Linked DNA regions of Saccharomyces cerevisiae S288C. Changing the gene in region 1 together with any one later gene gives a genetic interaction. Each region holds a gene or a part of one and is shown on either strand. Other genes may lie near its edges. The genes, in order: RAD51, NUP133, YAP1 and RNH202.

Evidence for each region.
Region 2: mutations in RAD51 (region 1) and NUP133 together harm fitness more than expected from each alone (negative genetic interaction), as found in Saccharomyces cerevisiae (6 studies listed by BioGRID, with this or other methods).
Region 3: mutations in RAD51 (region 1) and YAP1 together harm fitness more than expected from each alone (negative genetic interaction), as found in Saccharomyces cerevisiae (7 studies listed by BioGRID, with this or other methods).
Region 4: mutations in RAD51 (region 1) and RNH202 together harm fitness more than expected from each alone (negative genetic interaction), as found in Saccharomyces cerevisiae (6 studies listed by BioGRID, with this or other methods).

What each region holds. Positions count from the first base shown.
Region 1 is NC_001137.3:348,120-351,743, reverse strand, and holds RAD51 (recombinase RAD51), read right to left. Parts: upstream 1,765-3,624; coding exon 562-1,764; downstream 1-561. Other genes in the region: SHC1 (Shc1p), read right to left, coding at 1-46; PUP3 (proteasome core particle subunit beta 3), read left to right, coding at 2,398-3,015; AIM11 (Aim11p), read left to right, coding at 3,344-3,467, 3,543-3,624. UniProt on the Saccharomyces cerevisiae protein: Required both for recombination and for the repair of DNA damage caused by X-rays. Its function may be modulated by interaction with other repair proteins. RAD52 interacts directly with RAD51, via its C-terminus.
Region 2 is NC_001143.9:591,012-596,863, reverse strand, and holds NUP133 (Nup133p), read right to left. Parts: upstream 4,040-5,852; coding exon 566-4,039; downstream 1-565. Other genes in the region: DAD2 (Dad2p), read left to right, coding at 42-443; rRNA-binding ribosome biosynthesis protein RPF2, read left to right, coding at 4,324-5,358; MTD1 (methylenetetrahydrofolate dehydrogenase (NAD(+))), read right to left, coding at 5,507-5,852. UniProt on the Saccharomyces cerevisiae protein: Functions as a component of the nuclear pore complex (NPC).
Region 3 is NC_001145.3:252,190-256,365, reverse strand, and holds YAP1 (DNA-binding transcription factor YAP1), read right to left. Parts: upstream 2,519-4,176; coding exon 566-2,518; downstream 1-565. Other genes in the region: GIS4 (Gis4p), read left to right, coding at 1-274; MIN4 (Min4p), read left to right, coding at 3,094-3,204; ERG6 (sterol 24-C-methyltransferase), read left to right, coding at 3,376-4,176. UniProt on the Saccharomyces cerevisiae protein: Transcription activator involved in oxidative stress response and redox homeostasis.
Region 4 is NC_001136.10:1,017,798-1,020,983, forward strand, and holds RNH202 (Rnh202p), read left to right. Parts: upstream 1-1,570; coding exon 1,571-2,623; downstream 2,624-3,186. Other genes in the region: exosome non-catalytic core subunit RRP45, read left to right, coding at 2,950-3,186. UniProt on the Saccharomyces cerevisiae protein: Non catalytic subunit of RNase H2, an endonuclease that specifically degrades the RNA of RNA:DNA hybrids. Participates in DNA replication, possibly by mediating the removal of lagging-strand Okazaki fragment RNA primers during DNA replication.

The DNA.
Region 1 (3,624 bases):
TTTCAGGGTATGCACCAGGAGTATTTGAGCAAATAGTCATGGACATTATGGGTACTGCCTGATTTTAACAAAGGGATACTCGTAATGTCAACCGTACTTCTCTTGCTGTTAGCAAAAGTATTGTTCTATTCTTTTTTCCAAGTACAATTTTTTATTCAATTTAAAAACGTCGAAACGAAGACAAGGAAATTCATTGCCATAAAGAAGTGTATGGTATTTTACGTTGGTTTTATAAGAGGATGGCGACATATCAGAAAATTTTTCTCTTCACTCCCCTAAAAGGATAAAGCCGCGCGGACCCTGCAGGAGGAAGTAGTCATCGGGAAGAAGAGTAGAAAAATACATATATTTCATGGGTGACAGACAATACGAAAGTTATTTAAAAGAACTGAAAAAAAAGGTTAAGACCGCAGTAGGGTTGCGAGGTATATGACAAAATATATGCAAAAATCTAAGACAGTGGATGGAAATGAAGATAAAAATGTACGGAACGCAACCTAAGAAAAAGAGGAGAATTGAAAGTAAACCTGTGTAAATAAATAGAGACAAGAGACCAAATACCTACTCGTCTTCTTCTCTGGGGTCACCAACACCATCTTCATAGATCGCGAACACACATTCAGCCTCTGGTAAGCAAGGTGAGTCAACAACTTTGCATAATCTTTGACATCCCTTACCCTTTTTGAAACCTAATCGCGTGGTGGAAGAATGTGCCATAATATTACCACCGATAGGCTTCTTTGGATCTGGATTAAAAGCCATACCACCATCAACTTGGGCGACCACTTGGTTAGTAACGACGACTGCAACACCAAATTGGTCGGCCAGCCTTTGCAAAGCACGCATAAATTTGGCTAAATGCATTTGCCTTGCGCTTAGTTCACCACGACCAGAAAAATCCGTACGGTATAGAGCCATAACAGAATCGACCACAATCAAGGAAAACCGAGACTCGCTCATCATTTGGGCAGCAGCATCCAGAAGTCTTAACTGATGATCGGCGTTATAGGCTCTTGCATACGCAACGTTGTTCAAAGCATCATCCGGGTCTAATCCGAACCGCTGAGCTATGGATACCAATCTTACCGGCCTGAAAGTACCTTCGGTATCGATATACAAACACTTACCTTCACCGCCACCAATATCCAATGGAATTTGGCATGTCACGGCCAAAGTGTGACATAGCTGGGACTTACCTGTCCTGAATTCACCGAAAAGCTCAGTAATAGAACCAGTTTCCACACCACCACCCAAAAGAGTGTCCAAATTCTTAGAACCCGTTGTCAAACAAATCAGCTCCGATCTTCTCATATGAAAATCAGCAGCCGTGACAAATCCCATAGGCACTAGCCTTGCCGCTTCGTTTAGCAACTTATCTGCCTTAGCTTCCGATATACCTTTGATTTCCAATAAATCCTTTCTGGGAGCATATGCTACCGCTTCAGCAGTGTGAAGCCCACTCTCCCTTAGTTTTTTCACATCCGCCATAGTAATCCCGTTCACTTGCAGTTTTTCTATTGGCACAAACGAACCTAAGGCAGCTTCATCGTATGCTTCATCCTCCATTTCACCTTGCGCTTCCGCTTGCTCCTGCAATCCGCCACCATCGCCGGAGCCGTTGGTGGCCTCAATATCTTCGCTGCTACCGTTGCCGTTTCCATCAACGACTGACTGTGAAAGGTCTGCTGGTACAGTGGACATCAACGAACCGTTCCCGTACTGAAGCTGTGACTCTGATATATGTTGTTCTTGAACTTGAGACATATGACGATAACAAATTAGTAGGCCTTTAACAAATAACTACGTCTGCTCTTTGTCGCTACACTCAACTACTAGTATATGGAAACTACGGAAGATAGAAGAAGTAACTGAGAAAATTTTTTCTCCAGTCCCCACTATTCCCCTTTATGGTCCCACCACGCGTACTGTAAACAAACCAGGACAGAAATAGCGGAAATGACGCGTAGCATAGGGTAACGAAGTGTGGCCTAGTCGTGGGATATGGTGAGACGGTGATAAAACACTGATACAACCGGTTGGAATGCTCAGGGAATGCTCAAGAAGGCCACCTGTTGCAGGATAGCTAAACTAGATTGGTTGAAGAACGGTAGTGGTGCATTTCCAACATTTACCGTCCATTTTAATTTACTCTGTGACAATGATAAGCCAGATCGCTATTAACGTGGTGTAGTCATGTGACCGGATGGCACTGCCGGTGGCAAAAAAGTGCAAATGCAGGGGCGATGAAAAGAGAGGAAGAAAGAGTTTATGGCATAGTAGAAAGGCCAATTAAATCGGGAAGCTGCTAAGTAAGTTTGAACCGTAGTTTCGAAGTAGAGTGCGTTTCTTGCGAATTGTGGTGAAAATATTGAACAGTGAATAAAGCATAAAAAAAAAATGTCGGATCCAAGTTCTATTAACGGTGGTATCGTCGTTGCGATGACAGGTAAAGACTGTGTGGCCATTGCCTGTGATTTGCGTCTCGGAAGCCAGTCACTAGGTGTGTCGAACAAGTTTGAAAAAATCTTCCACTATGGGCATGTGTTCTTAGGGATTACCGGTCTGGCTACCGACGTGACTACTCTGAACGAGATGTTCCGCTACAAGACGAACCTATATAAGTTGAAGGAAGAAAGGGCCATTGAGCCTGAAACGTTTACCCAATTAGTGTCAAGTTCACTTTATGAAAGAAGATTCGGTCCATACTTTGTGGGGCCGGTGGTAGCAGGTATTAATTCCAAGTCCGGGAAGCCCTTTATTGCGGGATTCGACCTAATCGGCTGTATCGACGAGGCCAAGGATTTTATCGTTAGCGGTACTGCATCCGACCAACTGTTCGGTATGTGTGAGTCCCTGTACGAACCTAATCTAGAGCCAGAAGATCTTTTCGAAACTATAAGTCAGGCCCTACTGAATGCTGCTGACCGTGACGCTCTATCAGGCTGGGGAGCTGTAGTATACATCATCAAGAAGGATGAAGTGGTGAAGAGATACTTGAAGATGAGACAAGATTGATCGGTTCATGGCAATCTCATGGTCCCAAAAACAACCCCAACACAAAATATCAGCGGAACGTCAAGAATTTTCCACATCCAACTCATCTTTAATTTTTAAGTAAACAGAATAGATCGAATGAATATATAAATACTAAAATGCATAAAGTCAGTCGAAGATCTGAGTAGCTATCCGCTGGCTGTCCTTTTCTAAGGAGCAGCGTTATTCACCAGCCGCGAGTCTCTTGAAAAATTGGCGCTTTTAATACTTATTAGGATGGGGAACTTGATTCTTTGACGGGTTTGTCAGCAATTAGTACGACTATCCTACTTCATCAAGAAACGAAACTATGATCGAAGAGAAGAAGGAACTTAAGAAACGCAGGGTTCTTCAAATGGCCAGATTTTATGGTGCGGCCGCCTTCACCCTGATTACCATGAGGCTTATCTCCAGGGCCATAAAAGTACGAAAATGTATGTATTTTGTCCTAGTTCAGTGGCCAAAACTAATAATAGGATATAGTTACTAACACCGTCTACTGAAAGCAGACGTCCCCAGCATATTTCAACAAAATTACAAGCTTCCACCTTTTTCCCAAAGGAATGAAGCCATGTCAGCGTTAACGTATGC
Region 2 (5,852 bases), on another chromosome or scaffold:
TATTGAATAGGTTTGAAAAACTCATAATTCAGACAGTTATTATGGATTCAATAGATGAACAAATTGCTATAAAGCGAAAAGAACTTCAGTCATTACAAAAGATAACCAGTTTAACGGATGGCTTAAAAATTCAGCTAACAGAGTTGAATGAGCAGATCAAAGAAATGGGAATGAATGCGGATTCAGTGGCCCAATTGATGAACAATTGGGATTCTATAATAAACAATATATCGCAAGCAAGTTTGGGATTATTGCAATATGCAGAGGGTGATTATGAGATAGGACCGTGGAAAGATTCTAAGAAAAAGGAATCTGAACAATCAAATGAAACAGGTCTTGAAGCGCAAGAAAATGATAAGAATGATGAAGATAATGATGAGGATGAAGATCTGGTACCCTTGCCGGAAACAATGGTCAGAATTAGGGTAGATGGTAACGAATGAACAGAAAGAAAAGGATCTTATATAAATCGGAAGAAGGCAGTTGCGATAATAGCATATACATATTTATTATTATCATTCCCCAGTAAAGTTTATTATATATATGTAAAATTGTATTATAGATATTAGTATTCTACAGTGTTGGTTTCATAGTTGATGGTATAGTTTTTTTCTTTCGCTACAGAACCAATAGTCGAGTGCAACTTTATCTCGAGTGAGTTGTCTGAGTTCAACGTTTCCACTTGAGATATTTCTTCATATATCTCTTCACGTATGGCATTCTGATCAATAGGAAACCTGCCATATGTTTCGCTTATGTATTCTGGCGTCAGTAACGATTTGTCACATAAAAGATCCACACTGGGCAAGGGGAAATCATTATTTTTGGGTAGTTCTTCATCAAAAACACGTTTGACTATATGCTGAAGCAGTTTATCTCCTTCATTACTAGCATTTAGTAGAACGATTCTTCTCCATACCAAAGCATTCAAGAACTTTTTAACTTCAAAATTCAGTAAGTTTCCATCAACAGAAAGAAGCCTTAGCGGTATGAATAAGCTCTCTTCATCGTCGAGCATAGAATACAACTCAACGAGATCCGATAGATTGACTACTGTTGTTGATTTAAGCTCTTCCACTAATATGTTGAAAACTTCCCTGATAGAGCCATTCTTGAAGCGTTTACATATCTGAACTTCGCCCTTTTTCAATTTGTTTGAAATATTTTTCTCAGCATCAATTGTATCTAAATTATATTGGATCTTTCTCAAAGTATTAATGTCCAAATTATCCTTTTCAACTAGCAACGAGCTTAATTTTGCAACATTCAAGTGCAATTCACATTCGCTCAAGCTTTCGCCCTTCTTTGAATCATCAACAGTAATGTTTTTTAAAGTATTCATGGCATCTGCGTACGACCCATCCAGAATCTGTTGGATCCATGCTACATGACCGTACTTTGGAGCGGACTCTTGGAAAAACTGTATTAAAACATCGTGTTGTTGTGGGAACCTGAAGATGAGGTCGTTCAATTTTTTATGCTTGATTAAATATTCAAATAATGTAAAGCTAAACTCTTTAGGGAATTCGTTGAAGAATGTTTCGTATAGCGATACGGTTGTTGAGTCATTTTGATCTAAAGTTTGTAATGTTTGCACCAATCCAGATAAATCTTTGTAAAATTCTGCTATTTGAATACACTGTTCTTTTAGATTTACCTTACAAAGGACGTGGTTCCAATCCAGGTGGTTATCATCATAAAGATTGTTGATATTTATAAAATTATCATTGGCGTTCACAGATTTAACGGGTTGCGTGTTGATCCATATTTTAAATTGGTTGAACTGATAATATAAAATTTTCACAATCTTTAACAAGCCCTCTTTATAAGAATCCAGACTTCCTTCCTCCTCACACGCAAATGTAAAATCAAAAAAACATTGATTGATACAGTTTAAGTAATCAAAGTTTATGAACCATGGTAGCTTGGATGTATCAACCTCCATCGGGTCTAACTCCAAAAGTTCATACCTTATAGTTTTTTCACCTTCTTCAAGAATTCCATCATAAAAGCATAAGTTGATTAAATTGGTAACATTTAGTTTGAAATTTTGATTTTGTGATGGGAACAAAACAAACACAACATGGTTTAAAAATTGTTTAAAGATTACTGGAAATACGTCGGGACTGTTGATTACAACTGTTTTAGTAGTTAAGTGTTCATTTTGTGTCAGATTATAGTTTGATAAAGTCTTCTCCCATATATCGTTCAATACATCAGATTGTCTGATGATACTATTGAACTTAATACAGCAATTCAAGATCTCAAATTTTTCGATCAGATCCAATTTCAGTTCGGGTGATATTTTATAGTTGAAGTTCTTAGCAACAAATGTCAGGAAATTTTGAAAAAATTCTTTACGGACAGAGAGATGTTGCCCCAACGTATTTAGCATAGGGGGTATGTACTTGCCGTTGGAATGAAAAATCTCCTCGCTGGTTAATTTTAAATCATGCTCTATAGATTCTTGATCTAGTGAAATTTCTGGAGGTAAATTGAAATCTATGGGATTTGCATTTATTTTGGAGAAATAAACAGCTTGATCAACATGAGATTTGACAAACCCAACTTCCGGTTTAGAATTTGTTTCCTCATTCTCTTTCACAAAAAACTGTAGCACCCCCATTTGTTTCGTTAAAACATACAAAGATTTTGAGTCGTAACCAGAACCAATTATATCAATGTCATTTCTAAGGCTAACAATATCTTCCCACTTTCTTCTCATTGAATAGCTAGAGTCCAATTTTGAGTTCACCTGAGTAATGACAACAGCATTGGGGAACATTACCAAAATGGAAGTTACCTCATTGGTATCGTTAGCATTCTCCATCTGAGGTATAAATATCTTAGGCTTAAACTTTGTGTCGGTTATTGACTCCATAAAAGTGTTCAATCTATAAGTGGAAAAAATAGTAAAACTATTAGAAGAAGAATCGAAGATAATCGTGGAAAGAATATAATATGTTTCATTGCATGAACTGTCGTAAATAGATGACAGGAAAAGTTGTGAACTTTCATCTTGTAATGGATGAGAGTCCCAAATCTTCAACGTACCATGAGCAAATGGATACAAATCCTGGAGCGACTCTAAAATGGCTTCGTAAATGTTTACATCAATCAATTTTGTTGGATGGGAATTCGTGGCAGACAACTGCCATGTTTGAAAAATTCCTTTGTTAGTAGTAATATATACTAACCTTGTCCCCTTACCGAGGATAGGTCCATTTCGTAATGAGACAACTGAACTGTTTGTATTGAAAATTTTGGACCAGATACCCAATTTGAAAGGTTTATTTAATAGTTTGCCTAACTTCAGTTGAGGTTTACCCATGGAATTTCTAATGGTTATAAAAAATATTCTGCCCATATTTGTAGAAAGCACTATACCAGCAGGTTCGCAGTTTAACATTAGGTCACACTTCTCTCCGCCCGAAGAGTTGATGGGTAATTCTAACTCGTGAGAGAATTTTTCAGATAACTTAAAGTTCAAATTATTTATGGAGTTGATATCCTCATAATATATCGCTTTGCTACCTTTGATAATGATAAGCCCTCCGGTTTCGTCCTGATCATTAGGATTCAGTGCTAATGGAGACTCATCCATTGTAGCAGGGAAAGTTAGTATGCACCTGGGCGCGACTGCTATTTCATCATTATCATCAGAACGAAATGGTACAGTTATATAGGGCGTATCCTTTTGAGTGGAGTGAATATTCCAGATGTAAACCTTCTTGTGGTCATTGACTAGTCCATATCCAATTTGCATATCGATATATCCATTCAATTCGTCATCGTTACTGAATCCGCTACTGTAGTCTGTTTGAAGGGTTTTTACTATGTATCTGTTATTTTCTGTGAAAACCTTGGAATTATCAAAGTGCGAATGTAACCTTAACTGTTGCTGCTCCATGGAAATGTCCATTAGAGAGGCCTGGCTTTCCTCTTCATAAGACAACTGCGCCAGGGATTCGTTTTCAACCACCGCAATGGGTACGCTAAGTTCCTTCCGCAAACGAAGATGTACTTTTTTTTCACTCATATGGCTATCCTAATGTACTTCACTTGAATTGGATGTAACAGTATGCTCGAGCTCCTCTAAACCTTATTCCTAAATGGTGTATGTTTTGGTTTATTCTGCTATTTTGATTCCTAAATCCTCAAATATATCGTTTTATACGATTTGAAAATTTTTCATTTTTTTGCGATGAGCTAAGGATCGAATTTTCTTATAGTGTAATGCATTATTGGAAAGTGATTTGGTATATCGATGAGTTGTATTGAAGTTATCATATCCAAAAGCGCAGGAGAACACTGGCAGAAAAAATGATTAGAACCGTAAAACCCAAGAATGCAAGAGCCAAGAGAGCTTTGGTAAAGAGGGAAGCTAAGTTGGTAGAGAATGTCAAGCAAGCGCTATTCATTCCAGGGCAAAGCTGTAACAAGAATCTGCACGATATTATGGTAGATTTGAGTGCCTTGAAGAAGCCAGATATGAAGAGGTTCAATCGTAAGAATGATATTCATCCTTTCGAAGACATGTCGCCACTAGAGTTCTTTAGTGAAAAGAATGACTGTTCATTGATGGTGCTGATGACAAGTTCCAAAAAGCGTAAAAACAACATGACCTTTATACGTACATTTGGCTACAAAATATATGATATGATTGAACTAATGGTTGCAGATAATTTCAAGTTGTTATCTGATTTTAAGAAATTAACATTTACTGTAGGGTTGAAGCCTATGTTTACATTCCAAGGTGCTGCATTTGATACACATCCCGTATACAAGCAAATTAAATCTTTGTTTTTAGATTTCTTTAGAGGCGAATCTACTGATTTACAGGATGTTGCGGGATTACAACATGTCATTTCCATGACCATTCAAGGTGACTTCCAAGATGGTGAGCCATTGCCGAACGTTCTATTCCGTGTTTACAAATTAAAAAGTTATAAAAGCGACCAAGGTGGTAAGAGATTACCACGTATTGAATTGGTGGAGATTGGGCCACGTCTAGATTTCAAAATCGGCAGAATTCATACTCCAAGTCCAGATATGGTCACTGAAGCTCACAAGAAGCCAAAACAATTAGAAATGAAGACAAAGAAGAATGTAGAATTAGATATCATGGGTGATAAATTGGGTAGAATCCATATGGGCAAACAAGATTTGGGTAAACTACAAACAAGAAAGATGAAGGGTTTGAAATCCAAATTCGACCAAGGAACTGAAGAAGGTGATGGAGAGGTAGATGAAGACTACGAAGATGAAGCGTCGTATTCGGATGATGGACAAGAATACGAAGAAGAGTTCGTCAGTGCCACTGATATTGAGCCCTCTGCTAAAAGACAGAAGAAATAAGACCCATAAACTTTGTATATTATATGATAATCTAAGAGAGGAGAATTCTATATGTATGTAGTAAGTACATTACAAATGATCTTTCTTTTTTTCCCTTATTTTTATGTATTCTGTTTTACCTATGCTTATTTGAACAGCCACAAATGTTCTATTTTTCTTTAGACAGTTCTACGTTCCTTACTAAACGTAACATGTTTCTCAACAACATTGCAATGGTAACTTTACCAGTCATTGGAACGTAAAGAGAAGCTTTTTCCTTGACATCATCGCTAAAATTTTTGGTGCATGCAAAATTGATGCAGACGGCACCTTCTTTGATGTATTCGGTGGGGAATTTGTAATTTTCACTAGGGACACCAGTGATGACCACATCTGAATCAAGAGAACACTTTTTCAACAGATCTTCAGAGTACTCCCCAAGGTCTTCCACATGATGCTTGTTTAATTTCAAACTTTCACCACGGGTGAATTTTTGAATGTTGTTAACGTCCACA
Region 3 (4,176 bases), on another chromosome or scaffold:
TTCTCACAAACCTAATTCCAAGGGTAACAATGAAAGTAATTCCAAAAATGAGTTGAAAAAGATAAAGAGTTCCATCAATGCTATGAGTGCCGTGGAAAGGTCCAAAAGTTTGCCTTTACCTACATTACTAAAGTCTTTAAGCGGCATAGATAACCCTACTCATGCCACTAACAAGGATAGAAAGCGTTGGAAATTCCAGATGAATAGGTTTAAGAATCATAAAAACAGTGGTTCTGCAGGTACGGATAAATCTCAGCGTTGTGCCATCATGTAAAGAATACTTTACCACTATATATAGATATATATATATACTTGTATTATAATTATAATCATTATTGGTACTATTGCACTTACCAGTTTCTATATTGACATTGAAGGTGATACAGAGAATTCATACATAGTCTAAATATATTTAAAGTATAGGTTGTGTACATAAAAAAATACCGAGGTGATACAATCTACCTACTTTCGGCGAAAAGGCGAAGCAAGGTAAGTTAAAAAAGTTTAATTGTAACATTATAGAAAAAGTTCTTTCGGTTACCCAGTTTTCCATAAAGTTCCCGCTTTAGTTCATATGCTTATTCAAAGCTAATTGAACGTCTTCTGCATTGATGACAACCCCTCTTTCTGAACATTTTGCCTTTGCCATTAGCTCGGAACATAAACCATCGACATCAATATCTGAGTATTTCGGATGTGTTGTTATTCTATCCCAAATTTCCGAACACCTTAGTAAAGAGCCTTCCTTAGATGGAACGACATCATTATCATTATCGTTATCATTGCCATTATTGATTTTGTCAGCATTCTGTAAACTACTGCCATTTTTTTGTGAGATTTCGCTTTCATTTCCTGGTACCGATTGTAGATATTGTTTCGGAAGCTCTGGTTCTTCGTTAATTAACTGGTTCTTGATTAAACTTGACTCATCGTCTGACATATTAGCGGCTTTTTTGTCATCATCGTCATCCTCTAAAAACTCTCCAAATAAATTGTTACCTTCCTTCGATGAATCTCTAAAAAACATGTCGTAGTCAAACTTATTTTGAGATTGAGATTCAGAGAAAGGTTGTAATTGAATATTAGTTGAATTGTCGTCTGGGAAAGCCAGATTTGCGTTGATAAAAGGTATATCCTCTTTGCTGCTTTGCAGTAGGCTGGGATTGGTGTTAGAGGCAGCATTATTGCCGATGCCGGTAGATCCCGGACTAAAAAAATTAGTAACTTGGTTCATATCAAACGGTGACTCGGATATGAATGGGAGTACATCATCGCTATTATTATTGTTCTTTTTGTTCTTATTGCCAGTGCTACCAGTGCTATCAGTGCTACCAGTGCTATTATCATTCACGACGTAATGATTGGCACTCATATCGAAACCAAGTCGGCCAAAACCGGAGAAGGAATTTTCATATTTAGTAGCATCAGTAGCAATGACATTAGCAGGAGTATTATCTGTAATATTAGAATGTGATTCCCAAGTATTTGTTAAAGCAGGAGAATTTGAACTTAGTATAGAAGATGACGCGAAAACTTCTTTATCAAGAGCCGAGATGGGTTTCTTGGGAATGGGACATTGCCTTGTTCCACATACCTGGTTCATTTTCGAACAAAACTCCGAAACTTGTTCATCAAATTGGTTTTCAAAATTAAAGTCATTAGAAAACATATTACTGTCTAAATTCTTAGTTTTACTATTGCTGCCATCATCACCTGACACAAACCTGTTAGTATATATTACATTATCTAACCAATCCATCGAAGTGGAGGAGTTTGGTGTGTTATTAAGAACATCGTTACTATTTGAAAGGGAATCCAAAGTAGCGCTGGAGGAATCTGTAGCGTCACTTAATTTCTTTTGTGTCTGATTTATAGGCATAGGAGCCGAATGACTTGGATCATTTGGTGAAGGTAATTGTTTCCCCACATTTTTACTGTTGTCGTTGTCGTTGTCGTTATCAAGCGGATATTGAAACGTGAAATTCATCTTTTGTTTAACATTTTCTTGTATGTCATCATTGGGTGTGTCAATTGGCTCGCTATTGCTGTGGTTAACGTTATTTTTTGAAAAATGCAAATTAGGATCTCGCCTTGCTAAATATTCCAGCACTTTTGAGTCATTTCTTGTCTCTGGTCTATATTTTTTTAACTCATTCACCAGAGTGATTAACTGGTCCCTCAAAAAAGTAGCTTCCACTTCATTTTGCTGCTGAATACTCTCTAAACTTTGTACCTTCTTCTCCAATTCCTTCATCTTCCTCTCCTTACGTTCCCTAAAAGCTCTTTGAGCGGCCCGATTTTGGGCAGTCCTCTTCTGCTTAGTTTCAGGATCCAAATCTTGCTTTTTGCTAGTTTTGCTACCCTTCTTCTTCGGTTGCTCGCTATCCTCGCCATCACGTGTACCAGTACGTCTATGTTCATTTTCTATTTCATCGTGACGAGATTTTGAACCCTCAAACTCCGCTAATGAACCCGGAGAAACGACATCCAGCGACCTCTTGGCGGTAGACACACTCATGGTTTAAGAAACAACTTTTCCTTCTTTAAACGTTTTGGGTGGCAAAAAACTTCCCTTAAACAAACTAAAAATGGCTCGTGTTCATGCACAAGTCAACCAGGGGCTCAGGAAAAAAAGCTAAACACCAATCCTATATATAACGTAAAGGTACTGTGCTTAATCGGTAAACGGAAGACTATTAAGCAAATGTATCTCTTAAGACCTTACGCATCCATCAGTTGCCACCCTCCTACTCTTCATCGGAGGGTTTCCGGTTCCCATGACAAAGACGGCGCTTTGGCGGGGCCCAAATTGTTACCCGCACCCAGAAAAAGAAAAGAGTAACCTAGGTCAAATCAACCAAACAGCTAGGGCTGGTTACTATTTTTGAAAAGATGCAACAGGGTAAGATCAGCAAAATTTAGGGCCGAACAAAGCCCCGATCTTCGTATATGGTACCTCGTTCCCGTACTTATTTTCAATTTTTGGCGTCGTTTACTGCCGTTTCCGATAAATACAAAAAAGTTTTCGAGAAGCGAGAGTAAGTGAGGAGCAGACAATGTATTATTCACTGTAAACTGCTCCACTTCGTCTCAATGGTACACTTCATTTTTATCGCCTTACGAAGCATGCGTTTTATGCGAAGATTGGTGAGAAACCTCCAATACTTGCTGTTGCCGATAACTTCTTCATTGCTTTTTATATAGTTCGGGTGTTTTCTCCTATCCTCTGCTGCTCTCTTTTTCTTTCCATTCGTCTTTGTAATTTATAAGCTGTTAATTTTCATTCAAGTTTCCCTTATCTGTTTTACTTTCGATTTAAGTTTTACATAATTTAAAAAAACAAGAATAAAATAATAATATAGTAGGCAGCATAAGATGAGTGAAACAGAATTGAGAAAAAGACAGGCCCAATTCACTAGGGAGTTACATGGTGATGATATTGGTAAAAAGACAGGTTTGAGTGCATTGATGTCGAAGAACAACTCTGCCCAAAAGGAAGCCGTTCAGAAGTACTTGAGAAATTGGGATGGTAGAACCGATAAAGATGCCGAAGAACGTCGTCTTGAGGATTATAATGAAGCCACACATTCCTACTATAACGTCGTTACAGATTTCTATGAATATGGTTGGGGTTCCTCTTTCCATTTCAGCAGATTTTATAAAGGTGAGAGTTTCGCTGCCTCGATAGCAAGACATGAACATTATTTAGCTTACAAGGCTGGTATTCAAAGAGGCGATTTAGTTCTCGACGTTGGTTGTGGTGTTGGGGGCCCAGCAAGAGAGATTGCAAGATTTACCGGTTGTAACGTCATCGGTCTAAACAATAACGATTACCAAATTGCCAAGGCAAAATATTACGCTAAAAAATACAATTTGAGTGACCAAATGGACTTTGTAAAGGGTGATTTCATGAAAATGGATTTCGAAGAAAACACTTTCGACAAAGTTTATGCAATTGAGGCCACATGTCACGCTCCAAAATTAGAAGGTGTATACAGCGAAATCTACAAGGTTTTGAAACCGGGTGGTACCTTTGCTGTTTACGAATGGGTAATGACTGATAAATATGACGAAAACAATCCTGAACATAGAAAGATCGCTTATGAAATTGAACTAGGTGATGGTATCCCAAAGATGTTCCATGTCGACGTGGCTAGGAAAGCATTGAAGAACTGT
Region 4 (3,186 bases), on another chromosome or scaffold:
ATAGTGGGTCTAGCAGTTACTATACATTTAAATTGGCGACTACTATTATTCGTACATTCGACTATAGCAGTATTTCCAATTAATGGATCTTTAACTCAGCTATTATACTGTTTGAGTTCCTCGTTTAACATTTCCCTGTCCAACAGGGACTTAAAAGTATGTAGGGTTTGCATTAATATACAGTAGAGACACTTAAATTGTTACTATAGTAACTCAAGTTACTATTCGTGAGAATATTGACTTATTATTCTTCATGAATAGTCGATTAGTAATCAAATGAAGTAATCAGATGTGCAATGCGTCTTTAATGTTTCAGACTGGAGAATGATACGTAGCTACATAATAATCTGGGTACAGTAAACTCAATGATCTATTACCTGAATGATTAATCTGATGCTTGCAATATAACAATTCATCTCGTGACATTAACCATAAGAATTACTCTCATCATTGCTATATCGGCAAGGTTTAATATGTCCAGTCGGAGTGTATTTTATATCTCTTTCTTTTAGAATAAGAATATCTGCTTTTATTCTTAATCAATACTACAACCTAACTACTAACTATCAACACTGTTAATTACGATTCGCTCCAACAAATTTGGTTTTGTGGATTCTTAAATTCTCGAGAAAAACTTCTAATATATCTTGTATACCAGATACTGTAGCCTTTAGCAACGATAGAATACGAACAGTTCTCTTAAAATTCGCCTATTTCTCATACCGTTGCAGATATAACTAAAGTATTGACATTCAGTGACATCTGGCGCTGATATCATTATTTAACACACGTATGTTTGCGTGGCATTGTCATTTTTAAGAGCAGAGAAAGAAACAATGAGCTACTTGAGTGTGACAAGTTGAAAAGTCCACCAATTTCACGTTGAATTAGGATTCATATATGAAATTCTAGTCATTAATTAGAATTGTAAGTTTCTGAGCTTTTTTTTCCTAGTAAATTAAACTTGTCTAATACATCCAGTTGTGATGTATTCTATATCTCAGTTCTACAGTAGCACGAAGTTTCCCGGCCTCTCTATTCAATAAATTCAGCTATCGCTGATTATCAACAGCAGCAACGAATAAAGCATAAAAGAACAGAAAAATTCTTCTACAAATTTATTCTGTAAAGATTCAGCTTCTTTCGTGAATTTCTAAGTTCATGAGGGGAATTTAAGTATGGCGTTTCTTCGTAGCGCCATTGTCTTGAGCCAAAATGGAACTCTAAAAATTTTCACGACATTTTACTAGTCAGTAAAGTGAGCATATACATATAAGAAGAAATTTCAAAAGGTAAAAAATGGAGCAACTTCCAGCTCATTATCTTTTCAATGTTGTCGATGCCATAGTTGGATTATGAAATCTCATATTCATAACCACAACGCGTTTTTTTCCTTTTAAGGCACTACAGACTCCATTCTCACAAGTTTGTCAAAAGCACGAGCGCGATGAGAATTAAAGTCAGATCTGGTTAATGATTCTGGTACAACAGCAGAAACAAATCGAGTACAAATTTAATCTTATTCTGTCGCAATAGTTGACTTTCTTTTCTGGCCTCTCGAACAAAAAGCATGACCGTTTCCAACATTGGGGGGGAAGAACGACTAATAATTTTACCAGACGATTATGAAACTTCGAAAACTATAAACACTTTTACACTGCCGCCACCTTCCAATATTACATCCAAACCTCGTATCGAGCTCTTCGAAAATATTAATGGAAAACTTTACGAAATAAGATCTTTTCAATTCGGCAAAGGGCCCTCGTATTCACATGAGGAAGATTTGGCAAATGATAAATATCACTATACTAAGGAAAATCACCCGATCAAATCAACTTTCATTGTAAATACGTCTGATCCCACCGATGGTTATGTTTTTAACTCAAGCAAAATACACTTTTGTTCTTTATACGATATTGCTTTTAGTTTGATTGGATTTTACTATAGAAACAGTGTTTCAGCAGATGAACAAGATTACTCCAATTCAAGTGATACTGGTGAAAACCAAAAAAGCAACAGCAAAACCAATGAGAAATTTCTTACGGTGCGTGATTACCATGATTTCTTAACGGATAACCATGACAAGAATTGGGAAAACATTTCTTTAAGTCGTCTCAAGAGTGGCTTAGCAAAAGTTAGTGAAACCATTGAGGAAGCTGGTGACGTCTATTACAAGATCACATCTGCAATGATAACACAATTTTTGTTAGGCAAGGTATCAAAAATTGTAGAAAACTTTCCTCCAAGTATCCCTACACTTAAAAATGCCCCAACGGAAATAAAACAGTGCTACAAGGTAGTTATGGCTACAAATCTTTTAGTTTCCCTGATTCCAAGGGCGGCCTACCATAATTTACTTACCTTTTCACCTACAATGGATAGTGGTTGCCTAAATCCGGATATAAAAGCTAGCTTCATAGAACTCGAAAACTACGAGACTACGAACGAATTACAGAATGCTGAAAGAGAATTACTGATGAAAAGTGCCATGAATGTAGGCCTAAATTCGAATGGCAGGGTTTCATTGCCAGTGAAAAAAGTTACCAAAAAAATAGTTCAAAATAAAAAACCAAAAGTAGCCATAGGAAAAGGGGCCATTGATGGATTTTTTAAACGTAAGTAGCTAGTATCATAATTAAACAGCAATTTGAATGCTATAACTCGGTGGTGATGACCTCAGTGCGAGATAATTACACAATATTGTCACTACCAACGAATGGGCTACCTTTTTTTTCCTTTCTCGAATTCAAGAAAAAATTAACAACTTTTCCCTCGATGATGTTAACAAATGTCTGAATATAAAGGAATAGGAAACGGTTGCTAGATTGTATTTACCTTACCAACTTTCAAGTTTTTTTTCTAACTTCCTAACTTTCAGTCTCGATACATTAATCAACAGGACGTAGTGATTGCAAAATTGTTCAGAATATACATTAGATTAAAAGACAAATGGCCAAAGACATTGAGATATCCGCATCCGAGTCAAAATTTATCTTAGAAGCACTGAGACAGAATTATAGGTTGGACGGCCGCTCCTTTGATCAATTTCGTGACGTGGAAATAACGTTTGGTAAAGAATTTGGTGATGTTAGCGTAAAAATGGGCAACACCAAAGTTCACTGCAGGATTAGTTGTCAAATAGCACAACCATACGAAGACAGGCCATTTGAAGGATTATTTGTAATA